Linked DNA regions of Diceros bicornis minor. The protein of the gene in region 2 purifies or fractionates together with the protein of the main gene of each other region. This does not show direct contact. Links are inferred from orthologs where the notes say so. Each region holds a gene or a part of one and is shown on either strand. Other genes may lie near its edges.

Region 1 (7,996 bases), on a different chromosome or scaffold from region 2:
TTGAGGGCAATGACTGTGCCTCGTTGAGTGGCAGCATAAGGCAAAGCTGCTGGCCAAAAATACATTTCTTCTTGACCTTTTTTCTGGTCACATGGCTAAACTATATTTCCCAGGCTCCCTTGCAGTTAAATGTGGCCATATAACTAGCCCTCATGTAAAGGATGTAAGTGGAAGTGACAGGTGTCATTTCCAGGCCAAGGCATTTAAAAAGTGGGTGCACCCCTCCACTCCCTCTTTTGTCCTTCTGCCAGCTGAAAGCTGGTTAAAATGGAGTGCTATGGGATGGTGGAGCATGGGGCCCAGAATCACTGCATGGAGGAAGGCCACCCACTGACCAGAAATACCCATTCTGGACTATTACATGAGGAATAATAAACCTCTTTTGCTTTTGAGCCATTAGATTTTTGCAGGCCTATTTGTTACAGCTTCTAACATTAGCCTCATTAATCTAGGAGCCTAGCACATACCAAGGACCTAAGTCACATTTGTGAAAACAAGATAAATAAGCCCAGGTTCCTTCTCTCAACGTGCTGACCAACTAATGATGGAAACAGACACAAGCCAAACAAGGCCTGCTGCTGAAGTTGGAAAACAAAGTCAGAGGCATGGTAATTTGTTTGGAGGGGAAAGGGTGGAGAAAGCATCACAGAGAAGACTTTTGAGCTGGGCCCTAAAGGTTAAATAGGACCCAAGCAAATCAGACGGGGTTGGAGATTCCAGACCCAGAGAAAGCATAGGGTAAAGGTACAGAAAGCAGAGTGTGCATTTGTTCACATTCAACCTTATCATTATGTCTCTTTAACTTGGTCAACATGAGTTTATCGTGCACTGACTTTCCTATCTTGGGTCTGGCATCAAACAAACAACCCTTTGTTTTTACAGTACACTCATCAACCCTATCGCTTTTTTTAATATAAAATGTTCCATGATGAATGTCCTTAGAAAGTGCAAAAGTAAACGTTTAATGAATCATAACAACTCTTTTCTAATAAAATTCTTGAAGAACAAACTTGAGACGGTTCTATTACTACTTATCGTAGTCAAGGAGCCACGCTCTTAAGAATCAATGACTTCAACCTTTGTCCTAAGTTTTGACATTATCGATTAAACATGTAATAGTCACTGGCTTGCAAAATGGAACATTAGGCCCCAGAATTACATTAACATTTCCTCTTTAAGAGGAACATCAAGCAGATGGTTTAAGAGTTCAGTCAAAAGATCGTGTATATCGTTTGCTCACAGCTAAGTGCCCCTAAAACCTGAGATGGCTAACAAATCACTTCCTCCAAAAATCTATGAGTCTCTTTAACTGAAAGCAGAGTACCCATGGGGCAGGGACTGGGGAAAAATGCACAAAGGGTGGAAAATATTGCAGTCACTTGAGCGGTGAGAGGAAAGGATGTGGGTGTCTGAAGCCTACCCTGAAGCAGGGAAGAGAAACCGTCTCCAGTGGTCTTCCAAATACCAATTTAATGATGTATTATCAATGCACCCAGGAACTTGTTTAAATATAAGGGCAAAACAACATCACTGGGCTGACAATTCATTTCAAAAGACTTGAGCAGTCCTTAGACTTGAGAGAAGCGAGTCAGGCTGCCTCACTCCTATCAAACACCAATTTAATTCGCTGATTCAGAAACAAAATTCTTCTGCTCCCACACCAATGTACCCTACCTCAGCTCTTAGTATCTATCCCTGAAAGGAGAGGGGGTTAAAACTGGGCGGAGTGGAGACTACCTTGAAAGTAAAGCAACTCTTATGACAGCTAGAATCATTTCCCCCTTAAATCTAAGGAACACTGCAGCTACCAGTCAACACTACCAGTCCATGAATACAGCAAAATGCCAGCACCTGCCACCCCGCATCTGGGGCCTTTTATTTTTTGGTAAATGTGGCAGGAAAGATTCTGAGAGAGAAGATCAACTGCTATATCTGAGAGAAAGGGAAAACGCAGGGAAGAGAAACAAGAAGCACAGCGCCCATCCTTGGGTACTTTGTGTGTCTCCTCTCTATGCACTGAAAGGGCTCTTTGTGTCACACACACACACACACACACACACACACACACGGCGAGTCTGTGTGATTTATGGGGGGAGGGGCAAGAAGGGTGATTTTATTATCCCTCTTCTCACTGAGTCCCAGCAAATCTCCGCCTGGGCCCAAGCTCGGTGGCTTCTTTCTGGCCCAGTCCCCTCCGCCTGTGGCCGCAGAGATAAGAGAGGGGAGGCGACCAAACAAAAACAGTCATCGATCTAGGGAAGTAGAGAGGAAATCCAGCGAGCAGGGAAGGGAGGAGAAAGGAGCCTGAGGGAGCAGAAGGGGTGGGGGGCAGAGGAAGAGGAGCGAAGGCTCCTGCACGGGGGACAGGGGAAGGGTGGGTGGGTGGAGGCACAGGAAGAGTGAAGGGGAGGATGGGGGAAGTGCAAGGGAGGTGCCAGAAATAGGCAGGAGGATGCAATGGGGAAGGCGACGGCCGCAGAAGGAGGCCGAGAGGTGGAGGAGTGGGGCAGGGGTGGGGTGCGGTGGGGAGGGAAGCAGCACGGGGCATCAATTATTAAGTGATTACATCATCCCTGACATTAAAACAACACACACAGCCCGGGTCCCCGCGGGGGGCCCCGAAAGGAGGGCGGGGGCGGAGTCTGGGGCAGCCTCGCCCCCAAGCCAATTCCCATTCTCATCCCGCGCCCGCTCGCGGCCGAGGAAATGGGTCCCCATCCCTGCGCTACCTCCGGGCCGCACCGCGCAGAGGTGTCCTCCAGCCCGGCCGCGGGAAGACTCCGAGCGCGGCCAACTCCCCGGCAGCCCCGCGGGGCGCCCTGGAGGCGGCGGCGGCCCAGAGACTGCAGCGCGGGGCCCCGCGGCGGGGGCGGCGGCCCGCGTCTCCGCAGCATCCCCGAGGCCTCCCGCGACGCATCCCCGGCCGCTTACCTGCACGGCGCTCAGGCTCCGGAGCCCATTCACATGGTCCTCTCCCCGCCCTGCTCCGGCGCGGCTGAGGCGGCTCCAGTGGCTCCTCGGCGGGCCCGGGAGCCGGTGGGCCTTCCGAGAGCGCCGAAGGGGCGGCGCCGGGTGTCCCCGGCCCGGCGGCCGGATCCCTCCCTGGCGCGGGCGGCGGCCGCCGGGCGGTGCAGCGCGGGCGGCGGCTTTGTGTGCGCCCGAGGAGCCCTCCGTGCGCGCGGTGAAGCGCCGCGCGCCGGGACGGCAGAGGACGCGGAGCTCCGAGGTAGCCTCGCCTCTGCTCCCGCGGCCAGCCGGCGGGCGGGTCTCAACGGCCTCCGGCTCGCGGCGACCCCTCCTCCTCTCCCGCGGCAGCCCCCTCCCCGCCGGCTCCGCTCCTGACAGATGGCGCAACTGCAACGACACGCCGCCGCCGCCGCGGCTGCTCGCAGCTACTCGCGCTGATGCTCCAGCCCCTCCAGCCCGGCGGAGAGTGAGGAGGGGGCGGGACGCACCCTGAGAGTGGCAGGCCCCGCTGCCCTATCAACGGGCCCCTCGGGAGCTGTGGGCGGTGACCATTGGTGTCTGGGACGGGGGCGGGGCTGCAATGGGTGGGGCCACCGAGTGGGCTGAGCGTTGCTGTAGCAGCGGGCATCCTGGCCCGCGTGCCCGTGTAGGGTGTGAGAGGGGATGCGAGGTTGGAGGAGTTGTGTGTGTGTTTTTGAGGATTGTATGGACTTGTGAGGTAGTGGGTTCGGGCGAGGGAAGGAGGAGAGAATATGAGCTGCAGTTTCTGCTTTGCAGAAGGTTGCAGCTGCCACTGCAGAAAGGCATCTGCCATTCTCCCCAAACCATGGGAACCTGCCTCGAGAAAGGGCTCTCTTGCCTTTCTGGTGTCTGACAGTGGGAGGAGAAATAGGGAAAGTGTTAGGGTGGTGAAAACGTTTTCTCTGATAAACTGAAGATTGCGGAGCAAGGTAGAATGCCATCTCAGAAACCTGGGAAAGTTAAGAGAACCCTGGAAACGCACGATTAATATTATTAATAATAATAAGGAGGAGGAGGAGGAAGAGAAAAAGCAGAGGAGGGAGAAGAGGAGAAAATTAGGATTAGTTTACTAGTCTCCTATTTTTGTGGACACACACACACATATATAATTATTTTCAAGCAAAAGTCTGGAGCAAGTGTTACTGAAATGGGAGGAAGAAGTTGGAGAGGACAGGCGGCCACTAAGGAATCTGCAATCATAGAACAGAGATTTGTTTGTATAGTTTTTTCCAAAATCATGTTTAATTGTAGCCATTGGTTGTCATTGGTTTCTCATGACACTCAGCCTTCTCATGTTTCTTCCTTTCACTGAATCTGAGCTTTTGCTCAGATTTTCCTTAGTGAAATAATAGCCAGTTTAGTATACAGTTGGGAGTGCATCAGTCTTTATTTCCTATCCAGCTTTTCTATGGCAGGATGTAACTTCATAAAAAGAAACACTTTGGCTTCCTGATTTTCTTTATAGGTAATTCCTGTTTACTGAAAGTTCTGCTTTAAGGCATGCTCAGATTAGTTCTCCTTAATGATTTTGGCACGAACCCTACCCTCCTCCCCCAGCAAGCCTAATGTTCTGAGAAATATAAGCAAGTTGGCTTCTGCTTCTATGCTCAAAATCTATATTACTTTTCCTGCCAACTAATTGTTTTAACTGTAGTTTAAAAATATCAGTCACTTTTGCTGACTTTTTTATTTTTGCACACAGTACTTTTTTTTTAATTGCTAACATTCATTAAACGATGCTCATTTTTATGGATGAGGAAACTGAGGACAAGAGAAGTTAGTAACTAAAACTCAATGTGATAGTATAGGGTAGTTACTGTGGCTTTTTTCCTCCTTAAGCAAAATGATAAATGAACATAGTCCCAAGAAATAGAACCACAACTAGGACTAGAAGATTTCCATAGAAGAGAATGTCAACTTCATCTAGTCAAGAATTGTTTATCTCAAGCGAAGGGGGTCGTCTTCTTCAGTACTAGCCTGCCATGGCTGTCCTAAGTTTATTTGAATTGAGATGGAAAGGCTCTTGTCTAGAGCAATGATTCTCAGACTTTAGCATGTATCGGAATTACCAGAAGGAACTTGTAAAACACTGATTGGTGGCCCCCAGCCCCAGAGTGTCTAATTCATTAGGTTTGGGATGGGGCCCAAGAATTTGCACTTCTAACAGTTCCCAGGTGATGCTGAAGCGGCTGGTCTGGGTACCACCAAAACCTTGAGAACCACTGGTTTGGAACCAGGCTGTCCAGTGTAGTAGCCACTAGTCACACATGGCTATTAAGTACTTGAAATGTAGTTGAGTATTTGAAATGTGGCTAGTGCAAATTGAGATTGGCTGTAAATGCAAAAGATTTATTGGATTTCAAAGATTTACCATGAAAAAAAGAAATGTAAAACATCTCATTAACTTTTATGTTGATTACATGTTAAGATGATAACAGTCAATGTATTGTGATAACTAAAATATATTATTAAAGTTAATCACCTATTTCTTTTAATTTTTAATGTAGCTAGAGAATTTAAAATAGCATATGTGGCTCACATTATATTTCTATTGGATAACACTGGTCTAGAGTTGTTTCTGATTCCAGCTCCACAGTGCACACTGTTGAGAGCACCTTGATGCAGCAAATCTCTTACCCTTTCTGGACTTTACTGTTCTCACACATAAAATGGAGATATAGTAAAACTGATCTCACACTACTTGTGTGAAGACTAAATGGACATGGAAGCAATTTATGCATGCCTTCCTCCTTTTTAAAGATAAACTGTCATGTACTCTCAGAAAAACCGCTCTTAAGATATAGACCTCCTCGGAATTCCGTGTTAGACGGAATTTATCTTACATGATATCTGGAGTAGGTTAGGTAAGGCACCTCACTGCTTATGGTTTCTTCAAGAGGAGTCACTTTTTAGCGTCTGTAACTCTAATAGCTTCTTGATCTAATTAGTGGGCAAAAAGAAGAGACAATGCAATTAAAATGACAGATTAACCTGCTCCCATCAAGACTTCATCCTGTTTTTGTAATTCTTTCCTTGCTTACCTTTTTATCTGTTGCCCTTCTTAAATGTAGCTTTAAATGGATTTGGCCTCCTCGGGAGGATTTGCTAATGGTCTGAACAAGTGTACAGAGTACTGTGAAAGATTTGGACACTCTTCCCCATTTTGATCTGCTATGCAGGTCTGTACAGAGACCTTGATTAAAGATCCAGGACACTGTCCCTGGACTCCTTGAGATAAGTCATATTGTCCTCTACATCCCCCCAATTTTGTTTTATTTTCTTATGGACAGGTTAAATGTACAAATTAGAAGGTAGGCATTGTTCTAGAATTTCTCTTTGATTTGACTAGTAATGGTTATTTTTATTTTTCTATTTCTTTCACCTTAAATTTTCCTATTTCCATCTGGGCTTTCTTTATTTTGTCTCAACTGAATTTCTTATTCTCTTGCTTTTAATGTAACATTTTCCTTGTTTGTATGAGTTAAAATATTTTCTTGCCTTATTATTACATTTTAGTTTTAATCTTCTCTTAAATGTCAATTCAATAACACCACATATGGCAAGGGTAAGAATCCTTAACATAGAGTTCTTAAAAATCAACAAGAAAATAAAGATGAAGACTCCAGTTGAAAAACACGTGTAAAGGAAATACATCCCCACATGACCAGTAAATGTGAAAAGAGATTCAGCTTCACTTGTAACAAAATTAATGTAAAGATATAGTTTTTCCAACTACCTAGTTGGCCAAAGACATAAAAGGATGTAGGGAAATGGATACCCACATTCTACTAGTGGGAGTGTTAATTAGTGTAACCCTTCTGGAAGACAATTTAATAACATTTATGAAAAGCCTTAAAGTATATACCTTTGACCCAGCAATTCTACTTCTGGGAAAGAATGGAAGAAGTTTGCAAAGATATACCTATGATGCAAGTAATTGGAACATTGTTTATAACATGAAAAATTGAGGAAAGTCCATTAATAAGGGATTTGGTGGATGGGAGCAGAAGGCCTTCAACCCTCCCAGCCCTGGCCAGGAGCCTCTCTGGATACCACCTCTGCGGCAAGTCTTCTTCAAAAGGGAAGAAAAACGGCAGAGAAGAGGAAGAGGAAGAGAAAAGGGAAAATTAAAGCAGCAAAGGAAGGAAAAAGCTTAAAGAGTTTTATTGTTTCTTCTGGAAAGATTTTCACAATAAATTTTAAGGGACAGAAGTTGAACAACAAATTAGTAAGTATGTGTGTATATATACATGTATTTATGTTTATACATATATTCCATTGTTTTTAAACTTTATATATGTAAATTTTCATTGAAAAGTATGCAAGTACGTATACAAAAGTTTTAACAGTGATTTTCTCCAAGTTATCAGATTATAGGTCATCTTTATTTTTTATCCTTTTCTTAATTTTCTGGACTTTTTGCATTGGGTACTTATTATTTTTTAACAGAAGAAACAATAAATATTTTTAAACTTTTTCCTTTCTTTGCTGGATTATTACCTGGTGTGGTTCAAGTGTTGGGAAATAGGAATTAGTCAACCTTGAGGGTCTAAATGGAAACAAATTTAATTTCATATACAGTCATGTGCTGCATAATGACATTTTGGTCAATGATGGACCGCATGTACAATGGTGGTCCCATAATATTAGTACCATACAGTCTAGGTGTGTAGTAGGTTACACCATCTAGGTTTGTGTAAGTACACTCGATGGTGTTTGCACAACAAGGAAATCGCCTAACGATGCTTTTCTCAGAACGTATCCCCATCATTAAATGACACGTGACTAGTAATCTTCCAACAGATCTCCTATAGGAACCCTTGTGGGAGTCTAACAAGGGAGACTTTCTTGTCATAAGATGGCCTGTTCCTTTCTTTTACATCCCAACTAGCTGTACCTCCCACTCTGGCCCTTTCTTACCTACTCACTCTTACCTATTTCCTGGCTCCACTCTACGCAGTGATGGTACTTGGGACTCCTCCTGTGTGGCTGAGCCACTAGAAAGTCC
Region 2 (7,940 bases):
CACTGATTCTTTAGACTAAGTTAACTAACAAGACACAGGCTGTTTTCCAGGATCTGCAGTTATATTTAGAAAGACCTAGAGGGGAACCAGAATGACCCTGAAATTGCTCCCTGCTCTCCTAAGAAGAAAGGGTTACTCTGCCCTGAGAAAGAATTTCTCAACAAGTTGAAGGAAAGATTTCATTAAAAGACAGTGCCCTATTTTACAAGATTCCTTCTGTGAGGAGACTGGGAACATTCAGGCCAGATGTACCCCTTCCTTTCTAGCCTGTAGAGGAACTGGATAATGATATATGATGGATAGGGGTCAGTCAGGTCACAATGCTTGAGGTCTGTAAATCTTTTAAATGGACGGACATAGCACTTCAAAGTCCAGGATTCATTATAAAAATTGATAACCATGTAGTAAACCAACTGCTAAAATCAGATACAGAACATCTTTGTGTTAACCTGTCGTTCATTTCAGTTGGATGATTTTTTTCTGGATTTAGTTCTGTTCAAGGATGACCCAAGGTCATTAAGGAATTTTGATATTATCAGCACAAAATGAGATTACTAATACCACTAATAACAGTAACAGTAAAACACAGCCTCATATATTGTTGTTGGTAGTGGTGGTGAGCACTGCATGGAACTGGAAACTGATGAGGCTATCCGATTATTATCTCCACCTCAAAGATGAGGAAAGAGATGGAGAGGGTAGACATTTTGCCCAATCTCACATAGGTATTACAGGGCAGAGCTAAGGTCGTGCCCATTTACTGACCACAGGGAAACACCATGTTGTAAGGAAGCATGACCACTGGTGTTTCGGTCTCTATGGCAGAAGACCCACGGTTCTAAATTGAAAACTGGACTAGCTAATACCCTTGAGATTGTCCAGTTTCAAAGCTATTTGCCTGCAGTTCTACAACTCAGAGTCCCCAACTAAACTACAGACGCCTGTACAAAGTTAAGGTAAAAGCAAGCTTGAATAAGCGAGAATGTAGAAAAGCAGATAAATGAATACCTTGAAATCCCTCTCTCCGCGCTCTGAAGTTGCACTCAACTGTTGAAATAAGAGAAAGACCTCGTGTTTTCTGGAAAGGAAACACAAGAGGAAACAATTTCAAAATTCTGAACTGAAGTAACACTGCAATAACTAAGGGCAAAATGATTACTTTTTCTTATTAAAATTTTGAGTAATAAAGAAAGCAGCTCACAATTATTTAATTAACCTTTAGTACTTTAATACTATAAAAAAAGAATGTTGAAAAACATAAGTTAAAACTTGCTCTTAAAACAATCACCTACCTATACATTATCCCAAATTTTATATATGGAGGAAAGCAAAAATGATGGCATTAATCACATGTGTTCTCAATGATTAATAATTATGCCCGTGCTTTGTTTTTTACTCATTGCTTCATTCCACCTCTTTCTCCCAGACACTGACGGTAACTATGGGTTAGCACCACACACCTCAAACATGGACCCTTTGAGTTGTGCAAGGTACCCTCGATTGCATACCTCAAGAAGATGACAGCCTTGCCAGAACAAAGATGGCTGGAACAAAACCGTACAGAATTGTGTAATAACTGCTATAATAGACTTAGCCATATTATTTTATGTCTTTACCTTGAAACATGCTATATTTTTGTTAGCATGGTTTTCTATGCTTAAGATAAAACTGTATCACTTACAAAGATCACTTCCTCCGAGAGGATGTGTGATTCAAGTTTGAGGAATGTAATCTCAAATCTAAAACTCTGTTTTTGTAGATTGTGTATCTAAGAAGGCATCTTAAAATATGCTAAGTGGAAGTAAAAAGCGAAAGAATGATCCAACAACTAGACTCAATGTTCTCAGAAAAATTATCCACTGAGGTAAACCAATGCAATTTTTTTTCTTTTTTGGTAAAGATTAAAGGGGAAAAGAAAGTTATTTCTTGGAAAGGAATGAAAAACAAAGCAATGCTAGAAAGACCAAAGAGAAAGAGTAAAGTTGACAACAAGCAGGATTGTGGTCCCTCCATGACCTGCCATGTCAGACTCTCCAGTGGCCAGCAAGATGAGAGCTCCCCAACCCCCATCCCACCTCATGAGGCCCCTGCCCACATGCTCGAAGAGCCTCCTGGATGTGAGCTCCAAGAGAAAAGTGCAGTAGAAGGCGAAGGAGAGTTACATGTCAGGGAAGGAGGAGAGGGGTAAAGACCACATTTGCCAAGAGTCCACTTTCAACAAAGAGAGGCAATGGAAATTCTCTTCTCCTTGCCTTTCACTGGGAAATCCCCCATTCTGAACCACTAAGCATTTCAGCTCAGCAACACTGTGGGTTCTGGAAGGTTTCCACAGCAGCCTGAAAACCCAGCATTTATAAAACCAGGAAGATATATTTCAAGCTCTAAACTACTGCGTCAGAGTCAAGTGTTTGGGATTAGCACCTGTTCAAAAGTGGAGATGTCACTATTTTGAGATGCTGCAAAATCTGTCTAATAAATGCTTACTGATAAACCTCTGTGCTGCACAAAAGCAAAGGTGGTAAGGCCCAGTTCAGGAGACCAACTGACCAATATATATGATATAGAGAGACATAAATAATAACAGAAGTATGCAGAGTGACTACAGTACAGAAAGAGCGTGAGAGCCCCATACACACAGCTCTCTGCAGCTCTTGAGATAAAACCCAAGCCACTTGGCATGGTTTGACAAGCTCCCCGTCATGGCGCCTGCTTATCCTGGCAGCATCATATCTCATCATCTGTCCCATCATCGTCATCTCCCATCCGGCGTTCTCCATGCCTCTGCCACGTTGTTTGTTTGCTTGTTTTTTTTTAAGAGGCTAAACAACTAATATAGAAATGAGTATCTCATAAAGCAGCTGTTTCTAAGCTGGAAACCGTCTGTAGTGTGCTTATTAAGAGTAAGTGGATCCTGGTACCTGGTAGGTAGGTCCTCCAACCTTTCCCAACCTGGGTCCTCAGCCTGTCACATCCTTCTCAATCTTCTCCTTCTTTTACAGACTGGAAGAAGAAATAAACTGTAAACACCAGTGTAAAGTATAGAGCATTAGCATTTTGGGTTGCATAGTTCTTTGTTTTGAGGGACTAGCATTCCCCCCCCAGCTGTGACAACCCAAAATGTCTCCAGATTTTGACAAATGTCCCCTAAAGGGCAAACTCACCCTCGGTTGAGAATCACTGGTCTAAAATGAATGATGACTTATTAAAACATAATAATATTTATAATCTAACTTCCAGAATATGCAAAAAGACAGCAATCTGGATGGGGACCATCCAAAAAGGCACAGATGGGGGAGAAGAGAGGAGGGAAGGCACACGTATTGAGCACCTGCTGTATTCTTGGCCCTGTGTGAGGTCTCATCTAATACTCAGACCTCATGTACCTCCAGAATCAGAATCCTCATTTTTTGTTTTTTTTTTGAGGAAGATTGGTCCTGAGCTAACATCTGTTGCCAAGCTTCCTCCTTTTTTTCCCTTTTTTCTCCCCAAAGCCCCAGTAGATAGTTGTATGTCATAGTCGTACATCCTCTAGTGCTTCTATGTGGGACACTGCCACAGCACAGCTTGACGAGCCGTGCATAGGTCCACACCCAGGATCTGAACCGGTGAACCCCAGGCCGCTGAAGCAGAACACGCGAACCCAACCGCCACACCACTGGGCTGGCCCTCCAGAATCCTCATTTTAGCAGATGACTCACGGGCAAACTCAATTTGAGGAAGAACTGGCTTACATTTGAGCCAAGTTGGCTCAACCTCCACCCTACCAGAAGCCGCAGGCACCCTATAAAAGGTGCCATTGAATAGGTTTCTGAGGTTAGGGACTTCCCTGGGGCTCTGCTTCCTATCCCCCACTTTAAACGGCTCATTTTGGCTTCTTGGTTTCCATCCAGCTGCCTCACGCCCTTGCTCTGTCCGCCTTGCAGCCTTACGATATAGCTAGCAGGCTTCCGATTCCATTTACTAAAGAATGCTGCCCCTCCGAGCCCCTCGCTCGTATTCTCACCCTGTCTGTAGGCAAACGGCATCCCTTAGCTTTCTAAGAGCGAGTTCCAGATAGCCCCCTCCGCTCTCGTTGTCTTCGAGAGGGCAACCAGATACTTAATTCCCTAGATCCAGCCTGCATAATTCCACGTGCTCACATAGATCTATTACCAGGCACTAACGCAAAATATATAGTATTGTCATTGTGGCTTTTAAAGGTTTAGCTTCCTGCAATAATAACTACTCACGGTTTTATATCTTCTGTAATATGAGCAGACTGCTTTCACTCTTGATAGTTAATTTCATAAAACAAGGAAAACAACAGCTGTATCCAACATGACAGAATGAAAGATGAGGTTGAGCCTAATTAATGCAGGCTTTGCTTCAATAACAGCTTTATTCTCAATAAACAGAGTGTGACATTTTCATTAACTCAGATACAAACTCCCGTACAAATACTCGCACATGAAATACTATAAAAATACCAAATTTAGACTCTCTCGCTCTTCTCTTTCAAGACCCAAATGATTTCAGATGCTGGCACTTGTAATAGTTTTATTATGATTACTAATAATTACCAGTTATGAATCTTGCTATTTGCAGGCCGTGTGCTACAAATTCCATACATCCTCGTCTCATGTAATGCTCATGAGAAATCCAAGGGACCTGGACTATTGTTATGCTGGTTCTACAGATGGGGAAACTGAGGCTTGGAAAGGTTAAGTAGCTCAGCCAGTGAGTGGTGGAGCCAAGTTTCAAACCCAAGCGTACTTGACTCCAAGCAGCACCTCATTCACACACATCATTTTTGATAACACACAGGTGTCCCCTAAGAGCGTGCCCATGTATAGTTTTCTCTGTATCCTTGCATCCCTAAGCATATACACAGCCACTACTATTATTAATATTAATATTATATGTGCCTACTTGAATCAAGAAGGTATAAACCAATGGTCTCTAATCCCATAATTGGGAAACATTTGATTCAGACACCCTTGGTTAGACGCAAATATTATCCAGATCTGTGATAATTCTTTTAGCTGTTTCTCACCTAGAATAACTTAATAAGCTAAGCCAGTTTGGCATCACTCTGTTAAACTGGGATATGGTTATAACAAACCTGCTCATCACCATGGGTACCTGAATGCAATCTCTGGTGGGTGGGTGGCCTGGCCTCCAAGAACAGAATCTGTTCTGCCGGCAAGAGAAAATGCTAGCAATGTCCACTCATCTGATCCCTTCCTCCACCAAGGCAGCTGAGCCCTTGGGTCAGTTCAGCAAGTGAACAGAGGAAAGAGAAACAAATTCAAAACCTCCTGTGTGAGTTAAGTACCATGAGACTTCGGACACACCAGTTTACTGCCCACAATTCAGAGATAACAATGTCTGGCCCTGCCTCCTCTGGTGCCCAAGGATAGCATGTGGATGACTTGATGGGCCCAAGGCCCTTGGGTAGGAAGAGCTGAGGTTAATGAACCTATGTCCACATTCACAGCGTTGAGCAACATAAAATCAGGCCAACACACCTGCACATGGCAATTAGAGTTAGGTATGTGGGGCTGATGAAATATTTCTTTTGAAGTTAGTGAGGCCAAAATAAACAAACAACAACAATAACAACAACAAAAGAAGCCTCAGAAACTGATCTTCCCATTCCCCACCCCCATCTGTAAAATAGAAACAGAAACCTCTTGTTTTTAAGTAAAAATTGCAGGGCAATCTTTTCGGTTTCCCAGATTTTAAAAGGAACAAAAGCTGTAAGAAAATAAATATTCTAAGGCCCACGCTAAATTCATAAGCTTTTTACTTTAATATGTTCTGCATCTGGATGAATATTTATCACTCACTATTTATTACTGCCTCAATATTTATTACTGTCTCTATGCCTATTTCTCTCTCTGTCTTAGGTTGTCAAGTCTGATAAGGCAGGGACCAAATCTATTTAGTCCTTTTTGTAAAGCATGTGAAACTGTTATGCATAATTAGGCACTTAAAGGGTTTTTGATGAAGATGATTATGAAGAATCAGAATAGTTAATACCATGGTGGCATGTTTCCTGGAACCTTCCTGTCTTTCTGAAATATCAGATGAGCAGACTCGCATAGAATGGTAGAGCTAATGGAAGCTTGGGCCTAGAGATCATGAAGAGCTGGCTAAACCTGTGGTCTGTGGCCGGGCAGCATCAGCGTCATCCAGAAGTTTGTTAGAAAGGCAAATCTCGGGCACCACCCAGACCTACTCAATCAGAATCTGCAGGTGAACAGGATGCCCAGGCGATCTGTAGGCACATCAAGGTCTGAGAAGCACAGACTAGAGAACCATCTAGTTCAAGGACTTCAGAAGAACTGTGGCTTGTACCTTCTGACCTCAAATTTCCACCTCCTCTTGCTCCTTCAGGAATATTCCTCCTTAAATTATTCTTCGGTGGGTCTCCAGAATTAAACTGCAAATCAGTAACAATCGCCAGCTTGCCAAGAACACCGGTCGTTTCTGTTTGCCAGAGAGGCCTTTATTCTTTCAACATCTTGAATACACACACAAGATGCTGGAAATAGAAATCCAGAAACCCATCTTCCAGTAGCGGGCTTGCTCACTACACACAGCCAAAGAGGAGAGACCACACCGTGATGGTGTGTGGAACCGGACACCACGACTCTTGGCTGAGACCTGGATCCCACATTTTGCACATTTCAGGCCCAGTGACGCAGCCCAGGCTGCCCGTCACCTTTCATTTCTATTTCCTACTTTCACTAAATGCTCCTAAGTCCTGACTCACACACGGCTCTGCCCTGGAGTTCTAGAGTCCCACCAGATGAACATAATTCAAACCTTTAAGGATATGCATTCCAAGAAGAAGAAAAAAACAGAACTATTTGAAAACTCTTAAAAACGTCTTTGAATTGCTGTTGATATGCTGGTTTGTCACTGCATCTTTTAAACCAGTTCCCTCCACGACTTCCCTGCCCAGCCATATTATAGACTTCCTATACAGATTAGGAGTCATCGATTTGTAATTAGAAGAATTTTATTTGGGTTTTTCCCCTAGACTTCAGCCACAAAATGTAGTTAGTAAAGAACGTTCAATGATATTCAAATTCCATCACTGTTGTGTCACTTGTATTTTCCAAAAGGCTGAAAAGGACTGATGTGCATCTTAATCAGGTCTGCATATGGCAGACATCTGTCTTGACTCATATTTGAATACCAGCTGGTACCCTCCCAAGATATGGTCACTTTTCTGGAAAAAATATTAATTTCTCCAGGTATGAAAAGATTGGCTATACTTGTTCCCACAACCGTACGTTTTTTCCTGCACATTTAGAAATCAGAAAGGAATTTGTTGGACATTAAAAGAAAAGCACTGCAATGAAGAAAGGATGTTTTAAGAACACAAAAGATTAATTGAGGCAATAATTCTAGGTTTGGCGTAAAAGTTTGAAAGAATGTTGAAAATTTTGCTGAAAGCACATTGTTTAGATTAGCTAGAGACAAAGACTGACCTATGTTGTGGGTACCACTTCCTAAACAAACCTTGAGAGAGCACCGTATCAGAGAGAGCCAGAAGGGCACAGACTTACTCTAGAGCACTCTCCTCTGCCTCAAGGCAACATCCGTTATAAGAGAACGTCAGCCCATCTTTTGGGGGTACAAAGTACCTCAGAAAAGATCAGAAAAGATGAAGAAAAAAAAGGACGAGGAGAAGATACTGCTGAACGGCACATCCCAGGAAGCCTACCATGAATTGGCTGAAGTATCAGGTTTTAGGAAAACTTCACTGCATCTTTGGGGTTGTGTTAAATCGCCTATTAAGCACTTAGAACAGGGCCTACCTGGCGTATAGTAAGTGGAAAGTAAAATCTGCCAGCACTGGATTCACATTACCAAATTCTCAAAAAGCAGCAACTGAATGAAATTATTTAGCTGCTGCCCTTTAGATGAGGCATGAACTCCCTGCTTGC

What was found.
Region 1: the proteins of PAG1 (region 2) and FYN purify together in Homo sapiens (co-immunoprecipitation; 3 studies listed by BioGRID and IntAct, with this or other methods). This does not show direct contact. The link is inferred for Diceros bicornis minor from reciprocal best matches to the Homo sapiens genes PAG1 and FYN.

What each region holds. Positions count from the first base shown.
Region 1 is NC_080762.1:23,591,327-23,599,322, reverse strand, and holds the start of FYN (tyrosine-protein kinase Fyn), read right to left. Parts: upstream 3,005-7,996; 5' UTR 2,932-3,004; intron 1-2,931. UniProt on the Homo sapiens protein: Non-receptor tyrosine-protein kinase that plays a role in many biological processes including regulation of cell growth and survival, cell adhesion, integrin-mediated signaling, cytoskeletal remodeling, cell motility, immune response and axon guidance.
Region 2 is NC_080772.1:31,709,188-31,717,127, forward strand, and holds the start of PAG1 (phosphoprotein associated with glycosphingolipid-enriched microdomains 1), read right to left. Parts: upstream 3,004-7,940; 5' UTR 2,919-3,003; intron 1,079-2,918; 5' UTR 1,009-1,078; intron 1-1,008. UniProt on the Homo sapiens protein: Negatively regulates TCR (T-cell antigen receptor)-mediated signaling in T-cells and FCER1 (high affinity immunoglobulin epsilon receptor)-mediated signaling in mast cells.